2 linked regions of the Macaca fascicularis genome follow. The protein of the gene in region 1 interacts with the protein of each later gene in a pairwise test. Links are inferred from orthologs where the notes say so. Each region holds a gene or a part of one and is shown on either strand. Other genes may lie near its edges.

Region 1 (5,170 bases):
TTGTGGCCCCTCCAGAGCAGGCACCAGTGGCCTGGGTGTGGGCATAGTGGCTTTGGCTTATCCCTGAGGCCAGGCTGAGCTGGTGGGAGTAGCCCCAAGCAGCTGAATGTTGGTTCAACAGCATTACCTGGAAAATCTGTCTTTGTTCGGGATCTCCGATTCCCACCGCTTTTTCCCATCAAACATCTCATCCCCTAAGGTGACAGAAATCTGTTCCCGATTCCGAACAAGTTGATAGCCAGGTGACACGTTGATCACTTCCTAGGCATCAAGGGAAAGTAGGATAAAATGGCAGACTTGGAGTGCTGAGATTTCTCCAAATCTTCTCCTATTGCCTCACTCACATCTTAAAAACAGGGACCTGGGACTCCAGAGCCCACGCCCTTGTGGGCCCTTCACCCATTGTAGCTCATCCTCACATCTCTGAGACTCAAACCTGACGCTTAGTAGGCTCCTGGGTGTCCCTAGGGGCCTCTCAAGCTCTGTGCCACACCAAGCCATTGATGCCCCTGCCCTGCCACTTGTGTTCACCCTTGTGGCTGGAGGTGGGCATGCGGCAACTGCTCAGGTTTTGGAATCACAGAGGCCTGAGTAAATCTTGGCTCTGCCACCAGACAATAGCCATCCAGCATCTCTGTGCCTCAGTTTTCTCATCAGAAAGTGGGGTTAATAACTCCTTCTCAAATGGCTTTTGTGAGGGAAAAACAAAACAACATATGAGAAAATGACTAGGATCGTTGCAAACAAAATGTCATTTCCTCCTCCTTCTCCCATTAGATGCCAAGTCAGAAACCTGGGCAGGGCCTCCGCTGGCCTGGACCAGGGCAAGCCCTGGGGCTCTGAGAGCTGCACAGCACACGCTGCAGCCCCTTGAGCCCTGCCGTTGTCACCCCTTCATGTCTCTCTGAATCACCCTCCTCTCTCCACACCCCTGCCTGACAGCCCCAGGCCACCACCATCTTTCTCTTGGACTCTGACTTCTCTGCCTTCACTCTTGCTCCCCAACAGTTCATCCTCTCCACCTAGAGGGCAATTATATTTTTGCTTGTACATTTTTTCCCTAACCATTAAAGGACTGCATGGTATTTAAAAACAAACAAACAAACAAACAAACAAAAACTAGATAAACACAGAATACAGTAAAATGTATCAATTATATCCCACCAGAGACTGCTTCTTCTGAAATATAACTCTTACTTGGTCCTGTGCCTGTGTAAGACCAGTAAAGGCTCCCAGACACCAGAAGGGTCAGGCCCACATTCCCAGGTAGGCACCAAGATCCTTAGAGTTTGGTTCCCATCACCTTCTCTAGTGCCCTCCCGCCCCTGCTCCCCTGAGGGGTCCCGGCTGCCTCTCCCCAGCATTCGTGACTTCCCAAGGTCAGCAGAGGGCTTCCTGCATCTGGGCATGAGCTGTTCACTGGCCTGGACTAGCTGTCATGTCCGGTTTCCCTGGGACACTCTGTTTGCCTTGTGCAAGCAGGAGAGAGTGGCAATTAAATGCCCACTCTGGAATCTGGCTGAGCTGAGTTCAAGTCGTGGTTCTTACACTTACCTGCCATGCACAATATGCAATAATAACAGCACCTCCTCCCAGGATCTTTGTGAAGATTCAACAAGGTAAGTATAAAAATGTAAAAGGCCCACGCTTGCACATGGTAGGCGCTCAATACATTTTAGTCCCACCACCCTCTTCCTGCCTTTACTCACATAAAATGATTTATTGCTCTCTTCTTGCCTTGCTGCATGGATTTTCTTTCTGCAAGAGAAAGACATGCTCAGAAAGCAACCAGACAGCAAAGAGAAGTTCAAAGCTTAGGAGCTGAACCCTGAGGCCGCCACCATCTGACTTCTGCTCTCTGACCTGACCTTCTTAGGGGATCCCTAGGATAGTTGGGGAACTCACTGAAGCCGGGCTCCTGAGGGCCCCAAAGTGGGAGCGCTCATGAAAAGGTCCTGCCCAAGGAGGCAAAAGAGTTGTCCTATGATGTTGGGCAACTTCTGTTTTGGAGGAGCATAAACCAGCTAGAGGGACCCTTACATATTCTCCCTGAGTCAAGGCTCTGTGAGTCAGGTGACACCCCTCGCCCCCCTTTTACACACACACGGGCACACACACACTCAGTTCAGGGAACTGTAAGGAACTCTCTTTATTGGAGAATGAAACATTCTATATAAACAAATGTTCCAGATAATGAAATGAATCCCATTAAGATACAAACGTTGAAGTTAAACTTGTTTTTCATTCAAATCTTTATATATACTATATAAAAAATGAATACCATATATGTGTATATGTTCACAGTGACCTTTCCCTCCATCTCCAAAGCCAGCAGCAATTGCATCGCTCTGACCTCTGCTTCTGTTGTCACAGCTCCTTCTCTGACTCTGACACTCTGACCTCCTCTTTCACGTACAAAGAAGGACCTTTGTGATTACATGGGGTCTGGGATAATCCAGGATAATCTCTCCAACTCAAGGTCAGCTGATTAGCAACCTTAATTCCATCTGCAGCCTTAATTCCTCTTTGGCAACATATTTGCAGTCTCTGGGTGTTAGGGTGTAGACGTCCTTGGGAGGGGGTCACTGTCCTGCCCACCACACCCATCACCTCATTATCTGCTTTGAGCTCATCTCCCACCACTCCCTGCTCACTTGCTCCGCTCATGCCACACTGGCCTCTGCCTTCCTGGAAGAGGTCAGACATGCCAAGCAAGTTCCCACCCCAGGACCTTTGGACTTGCTGGTCCCTCTGCCAAGAGTGCTTGCCCCAGGAATCATCAAGGCTCCTTCTGTCCCCTTTACACAGGGACTCGCCCGACCTCCCTACATAAAGTATCCCCACCCTCACAGCCCCTCCCACTTTGCCTGCATTGTTTTTCTGTGTAGCACTTGCCAACCTCAGATGTAATAACTAGTTTATGGTCCTCTTCCCCTCCCTCACTAGAAGATAAGTGCCAGGAGAGTGGAGACTTTATTGTGTTTCTGGCTGTTTTCCCAGCACCTGAAACAGTGCCTAATAAATAATAGGTGTTCAATAAATATTTTCCAAAAATTAATGGAATACAAAGATTCATACAAAGACCTAAAACTAAGATACATTTCTAAGCTTGTAAAATGTGAGTAAAATTTTTAATTTGTGATTAAAACCAAGATGCAACCCACAGAAAATCTTAGACACAGGAAAGTAATCAGCTAAAGAGTGGGTCACCACCCTAAATGCATGGGAGGGTCAAGGCTCTGTGACAAAAGGGCGTATCAAGCTTTGGGCTCGAGGGCAGAAAAGAGCTATTGAGGGCACCCCTGTGGAGAGCAGTTGATACAGTGACTTTGAATCAAATGATGCAATGACTTTGGAAGCTGTGGATGCAGAGGACCCCAAAATCTACATGTAGGATCTGAGGTTTGCGAGAAATCAAGGTGGATTCTGGCAATTCTCTAACATCCCTGGCATCAATTAGTTCAAGTCAGGCCAGGTGGGAGGGAGATTATTTTATTCACATGCCTTAAACCATTTCTGCCTCACGGACATACAAATACTTAAGGCCAGGAGCAGTGGCTCACGACTGTAATCCCAGCAATTTGAAGGTCGAGGAGGGCTGATCACTTAAGGTCAGGAGTTCAAGACCAGCCTGGCCAACACAGTGAAACCCCGTTGTTACCACAAATACAAAAATTACCTGGGCATGGTGATGGGTGCCTGTAATCCCAGCTACTCAGGAGGCTAAGGCAGGAGAATCGTTTGAACCAGGGAGGTGGAGGTTGGATTGAGCCAAGATGGCACCACTGTGGTCCAGCCTGGGTGACACAGCAAGACTCCATCTCAAACAAACAAACTGCTGGGAGCAGTGGCTCACGCCTGTAATCCCAATACTTTGGGAGGCCGAGGCGGGTGGATTGCTTGAGTTCAGGAGTTCAAGACCACCCTAGGCAGCGTGGTGAAACCCCGTCTCTATTAAAATACAAAAAAGTAGCTGGGCATGGTGACTCGCACACCTGTAGTCCCAGCTAGTCGAGACACTGAGGCAGGAGAATCTCTTGAGACTGGGAAGTGGAGGTTGCAGTGAGCCACCGAGGTTGCGCCACTGCACTCCAGCCTGGGCAACAGAGTGAGACTCCATCTCAAAAACAGAAAACAAAACAAAACAATACTTACTTTGGGGAAACAACAGGTTTTGTTGGTTGGAGGTAATTGTGATTTTTTGGAGCTGGTAGAAGAGGAGTTAGCCTGAAAGTGAAAAACAATAATTAAAACAAAAAAGTTGGAAATTTGGAAACCCTTTTTAACACTCCCAGATTAAGTACATCCCTATAGTGACCCAAAATTGGAATGCATGTTCTGACAGCTGGAATCTTTAAAATCTGAGGCCTTTAAAACTCAGGCCCAAGGCCCTAGCAGTTGTTCACTGTCCCAGGAAGAGTTTGTCCCCCAGTTCCCAAAGCTCTTTATCCCACATGGAGGGGGCAGCTGCCATCAAGGCCCTTTGGTTGGAAGCCGTACTTTGCCTTTGCACCAACACTGAGACTTCCTCATTTAAAATGGCAAAAATCCCAGGCAGGGCTGGCAAGATGAGGGTGCAGCCAACCAGCTGGCAGGGAAGCTGGAGAAAGCAAGGCTTTCTGGCCCACCTGGGATTTTGCTACCACACTTGCTGTTTTAGAAATCTTGTGAAAGAAATGAGGCTACAAATGGATCCCAAGGTCCCTGTGCCTACCCCATCCCAGATAATTCTTACTTGGACCTCCCTGTGGAGTTCTTGTGTGGTAGTTGAGGGGTCTTGATTAGCTTCCGTGGTCCCAAGTTCCAGGGGTCCCAGCAGGTGCAATAGATGAGAGGGTTGGGGTACATGGCCAAAGGTCAGTGGCAGTCTTGGCTGCTAGATCAGGAGGCTCTTGCTGAAATCGAAAAACAACAGCAGAAAGTTAAACCATTTAGAATCAAAGCAAAAATACAGACAAATTGGGAAGAACCCAGGGAGGACCCAAAGAACAATGGTAGACTCCAGAAGCTGTTGATCTGGTGCAGGGTCTTGGCTATAGGTTAACAGCTCATCCCTTTCAACTCAGTAGACTTGACTTGAAAGCAATTTAAACTTTGCCATAACTGGCCAGGCACGGTGGCTTATGCCTGTAATCCCAGCACTTTGGGGAGCCGAGGTGGATGGATCACT
Region 2 (5,170 bases), on another chromosome or scaffold:
ACCAATTTGCGGACTGGCGCAGCACGCAAGCCTCAGCAACCCTCCAACCCTCAGTTTTCTATTTTTTTTTTTCTTTTTGAGATGGCGTCTCGCTCTGTCGCCCAGGCTGGAGTACAGTGGTGTGATCACGGCTCACTGCAACCTCCTATTCAAGCGATTCTCCTGCCTCAGCCTCCCGAGTAACTGGGATTACAGGCGTGCACCACCACACCCGGCTAATTTTTATATTTTTAGTAGAGATGGCGTTTAACCATGTTGACCAGGCTGGTCTCAAACTCCTGACCTCAGGTGCTCCACCTGCCTCGGCCTCCCAAAGCGCTGGGATTACAGGCATGAACCACTGCACCCAGTCCAAGCCTCAGTTTTCTCACTGTGGGGCTATCACCAGGGCATCACCCCTCACCTGGAAACCTGGGGCTGATAGGATTCAGGGATTCTGCTGTGGCAGCAGAATCGCTTGAACCCGGGAGGCGGAGGTTGCAGTGAGCCGAGATCGCGCCACTGCGCTCCAGCCTGGGTGACAGAGACTCTGTCTCAAAAAAAAAAAAAAAAAAAGAAAGAAGAAGATGCTTCTCTGGTGGCTTGGCAGATGGAGGAAGAGGCCATGAGCCTCGGAATGCAGGTGGGTCAACAACTGAGAAGGTGAGGCAAGAGATTCTCCCCTAGAGCCTTCAGAAGAAATATGTCCTTTTTAACACCTTGAGCTTAGCCCAGGGAGACAGACCTTAGCCCAACTCCTGACCTCCAGAAATGTTAAGAAAGTACATGCGGCCGGGCGCGGTGGCTCAAGCCTGTAATCCCAGCACTTTGGGAGGCCGAGACGGGCGGATCACAAGGTCAGGAGATCGAGACCATCCTGGCTAACATGGTGAAACCCCGTCTCTACTAAAAATACAAAAAACTAGCTGGGCGAGGTGGCGGGCGCCTGTAGTCCCAGCTACTCCGGAGGCTGAGGCAGGAGAATGGCGTGAACCCGGGAGGCGGAGCTTGCAGTGAGCTGAGACCCGGCCACTGCACTCCAGCCTGGGCGACAGAGCGAGACTCCGTCTCAAAAAAAAAAAAAAAAAAAAAAAAAAAGTACATGCAGCCAGGCGCGGTGGCTCACACCTGTAATCTCAGCACTTTGGGAGGCTGAGGCAGGAGGATTGCTTGAGCCTAGGACTTTGAGACCAGCCTGGGCAATATAGCAAGACCCCTGTCCTTATTAAAAACATATTTAAAAAAACAGGGGCCGGGCACCGTGGCTCACACCTGTAATCCCAGCACTTTGGGAAGCTGAGGCGGGCAGATCACTCGAGGTCAGGAGTTCAAGAGCAGCCTGGCCAACATGGTGAAACCCCCTCTCTACTAAAAATACAAAAATTAGCCAGGTGTGGTGGCGCATGCCTATAATCCCAGCTGCTCAGGAGGCTGAGGCAGGAGAATCGCTTGAACCCGGGAGGTGGAGGTTGCAGTGAGCTGAGATTGAGCCACTGCACTCCAGCCTTGGGGACAGAGCGAGACTCCATCTCAAAAAAAAAAAAAAGAAAAGAAAAAAAAAGCCGGGCGTGGTGGCTCACACTTGTAATCCCAGCACATTGGGAGGCTGAGACGGGTGGATCACAAGGTCAGGAGATTGAGACCATCCTGACCAACATGGTGAAACCCCGTCTCTACTAAAAATATAAAAATTAACCAGATGTGGTTTCGGGTGCCTGTAGTCCCAGCTACTCAAGGAGGCTGAGGAAGGAGAATCGCTTGAACCGGGGAGGCGGAGGTCGCAGTGAGCCGAGATCGCGCCACTGCAACCTCCAGCCCGCCTGGGCAACAGAGTGAGACTCCGTCTCAAAAAAAAAAAAAAAAAAAAGAGTAAACGTGTGTCGTTTTGAGCCATGGAGTTTGCGGTGTTCGTTACATCAGGAAGAGGAAACAACTGCGCTGCCGCCTGCACCCCATAACCCAAAGTTTGAGTATTTCTGCCGTGAACATGGCCGTGGAGGAGGATTTGTGAAGATTCTAGATCTCCTCTCTCGGGCAGACCTGGTGTTGGCAGTACTCCTGGACGTTTTGCTCTCATTGGGAGTTCTCTGGGTGGGGACGCCTCGGGTGGCTGGCACGTGTGCCAAGCCAGTGCTAAGCCCTGTGCGTGATCAACCCTGGGGCCACAGTGACCCTGTTCACCCAATGTTACAGCTGGGTGAGAAACTGAGGCCCAGAGAGGTTAAGTAACTCTCCCAGGTCACACAGCCAGGCAGTGGCCTAGTGGGCTCCGAACCCCAAAGCCCCCGCACCTTTCCGGAGGAAGGCCCCGCGACGGTGGTCCAGCAGGCTGGGAGGCAGCAGTGTGTAGTTGGACATGGTGTTGGCCTTCATGGCGCCGAAGGTCGAGTGTGCCACGACGGAGCCCAGTGCCTCCTTGCCCAGCGGACGGCCCAGGAACCCGCAGATGCGCTGCACGGAGCCCTGTAAGTCCTGCCGGCAGGGGAGACGGGTCAGCAGAGGGAGGGCACTTGGCCAAGGAAGGAGCATGGAACCTGGGGTCTGCACGTCTGGGTCCTAACCCAGGGCTGCCTGAGGGACGCTGCCTCTTTGCCTCAGTTTCCCCAGCTCCAAGCTGAGGGGTTGGGCTATATTGCCTCTAAGGGTTTTTGCAGTTTCTGTCTTTGGACGGTTCTCTAGGTGGGAGGGAATAGGTGGGCTTGGGGCAGAGGTCACAGCAGGGTCAGAGGTCAGAGCATCCCCTTATCCGGAATCACCTTCCTTTGGTTAGAGACAGGCATTGGCTGGTCTACATCTCAAACCTGCTCCTCCCCCAGCTCCCAGTGCAGGATCCCATCCACCTAGGAGCCTGGCCTCCCTCTCTGGGTACCCTTCACCCCCAAACTCTGTCCCGTCATCAGACCTGTCCCTTCCCACCTGCCTCCCCTTGCCATGTCCCCTCCTCTGTGCCCTTGTAGCCTAGCACTGCTCAGGCCTCATCCTCTCCTTCCTGGACCCATGCCCCAGCCTGCTGCTCCATAACCTCCCTGCCTCCAGTCTTCATCCCCCTCCAGCTCATCCCCCACACCCAAACTGACCCTGCTCCTCACTGGCTCCCAACTCTTCTGTGGCTCCCGAGTGCCCTGGGACAGAGTCCCAGACCCAGACCCAGACCCAGACCCAGCTTTCAAGCACAGAAGTGGGGCGGGTGCAGTGGCTCACGCCTGTAATCCTAGCACTTTGGGAGGCTGAGACGGGCGGATCACTTGAGGTCGGGAGTTGGAGACCAGTCTGGCCAACATGGTGAAACCCTGTCTTTACTAACAATACAAAAGTTAGCCGGGCATGGTGGCGAGCACCTGTAATCCAGGTGCTCGGGAGGCTGAGGCAGGAGAATCATTTGAACTGGGAGGTGGAGGTTGCAGTGAGCTGAGATTTCACCACTGTACTCCAGCCTGGGTGGCAGAGCGAGACTCCATCTCAAAAAAAAAAAAAAAAAAAAAAAAAGAGCAGATGTGGTCTGGTCTCAGCTCTTCCAATACCTGTCCCACCCTCTCCTTCTGGGACTCACCATTCCCTACACATTCCTCCCTCCAGGCCTTGGCACGGGGCTTCCAGAAGGGCCACTGCCATGGCTGCAGCTCAAATATCACCTTCCTTACTGAGTGTCTAGTATGTACCAAGCTCTGATCCAAGCCCCCCATACATTTGTGCCGATCCCACCATCAGCTTTGCAAGGGAAATGTCATTATCTCAATTGGTAAAGAGAGGCCCAGAGAGGGAGAGACACTTGTCCAAGGTCACACAGCCAGAGAGGAGCTCAGGTTCCCGGAGCCCTTAGTCCTCCCCTTTGCCCCTCTGCTTTTTTTTTTTAGACGGAGTTTCACCCTTTTTGTCCAGTCTGGAGTGCAATGGTGCAATCTCGGATCACCGCAACCTCCACCTCCTGGGTTCCAGTGATTCTCCTGCCTCAGCCTCTCGAGTAGCTGGGATTGCAGGCGTGCACCACCACGCCTGGCTAATTCTGTATTTTTAGTAGAGACAGGGTTTCTCCATGTTGGTCAGGGTAGTCTCAAACTCCCGAGCTCAGGTGATCTGCCAACCTCGGCCTCCCAAAGTGCTGGGATTACGAGACTGTGTCTCTCTTTGTCGCCCAGGCTGGAGTGCAGTGGTGCTATCTCAGCTCACTGCAACCTCCACCTCCTGGGTTCCAGTGATTCTCCTGCCTCAGCCTCCAAAGTAGCTGGGATTATAGGCATGTGCCACCATGCCCGGCTAATTTTTGTATTTTTAGTAGAGACAGGGTTTCACCACGTTGGCCAGGTTGATCTCAAACTCCTGACCTCAAGTGATCCAGCTGCCTCGGCCTCCCAAAGTGCTGGGATTACAGGCATGAGCCACTGCGCCCGGCCATCGCTGCCTTTTGATACGTAGCGCCCAGCACGGTCAGCCCTCTGGTCAGCTCCGCCAACCCCACGGCTCCTATTTTCCAGGTCATTCCTGGTTTCATAACCTTCCATCTCTTTATCTTCTTGAACCACTGACGTGTCCCAGAAATTTTAACATGTGGGCGGCACCTCACACCCAGGAGCAGCCCAGAAGCTGTTAGGCTCTGTGGCCCAGTTCTGGGTTTGGAGAAGAAAGCTTGCTGGAAAAGAGGGGGAGGAGTAGTACCAACACCTTTTCTGGAGCTTTCCATTAAAAGAAAGTTACCAGGGTGGAAAAAAATAACCACGGAGTCTGCAGGCAAGAGCCATATGCCTTGGGCAAGTTATCAACCCTCTCTGAAATTACAAACCTCCAGTTTCCTCGTCGATAAAATAGGGATAATAACAACATTTGGGAAAACCGTATAAAATTACCTTTTTTTTTTTTTTTTTTCTGGAGACAGAGTCTTGCTCTATAACCCAGCTAGAGTGCAATGGTGTGATCTCGGCTCACTGCAACCTCCAGCTCCCGGGTTCAAGCGATTCTCCTGCCTCAGCCTCCCGAGTAGCTGGGACTACAGGTGCCCGCACCATGGCCGGCTAATTTTTTTGTATTTTTAGTAGAGATAGGGTTTCACCATGTTGGCCAGGCTGGTCTCGAACTCCTGAGCTCAGGTGATCTGCCCACCTTGGCCTCCCAAAGTGCTGGGATTACAGGCGTGAGCCACCATGTCCAGCGAAAATTACCGTCTTAAGATAAACACTGGTTGGCGGGGCAACAAGAG

Evidence for each region. The genes of interacting proteins can lie anywhere in the genome.
Region 2: the proteins of FLACC1 (region 1) and SULT2B1 interact in binary tests that used the Homo sapiens proteins (3 or more experiments, as listed by UniProt). The two-hybrid records come from large-scale screens. The link is inferred for Macaca fascicularis from reciprocal best matches to the Homo sapiens genes FLACC1 and SULT2B1.

Annotation. Positions count from the first base shown.
Region 1 is NC_088386.1:97,118,497-97,123,666, forward strand, and holds part of FLACC1 (flagellum-associated coiled-coil domain-containing protein 1), read right to left. Parts: intron 4,896-5,170; 5' UTR 4,849-4,895; coding exon 4,736-4,848; intron 4,228-4,735; coding exon 4,156-4,227; intron 1,759-4,155; coding exon 1,710-1,758; intron 262-1,709; coding exon 128-261; intron 1-127.
Region 2 is NC_088393.1:56,587,011-56,592,180, reverse strand, and holds part of SULT2B1 (sulfotransferase 2B1), read right to left. Parts: intron 2,452-5,170; coding exon 2,271-2,451; intron 1-2,270. UniProt on the Homo sapiens protein: Sulfotransferase that utilizes 3'-phospho-5'-adenylyl sulfate (PAPS) as sulfonate donor to catalyze the sulfate conjugation. Responsible for the sulfation of cholesterol.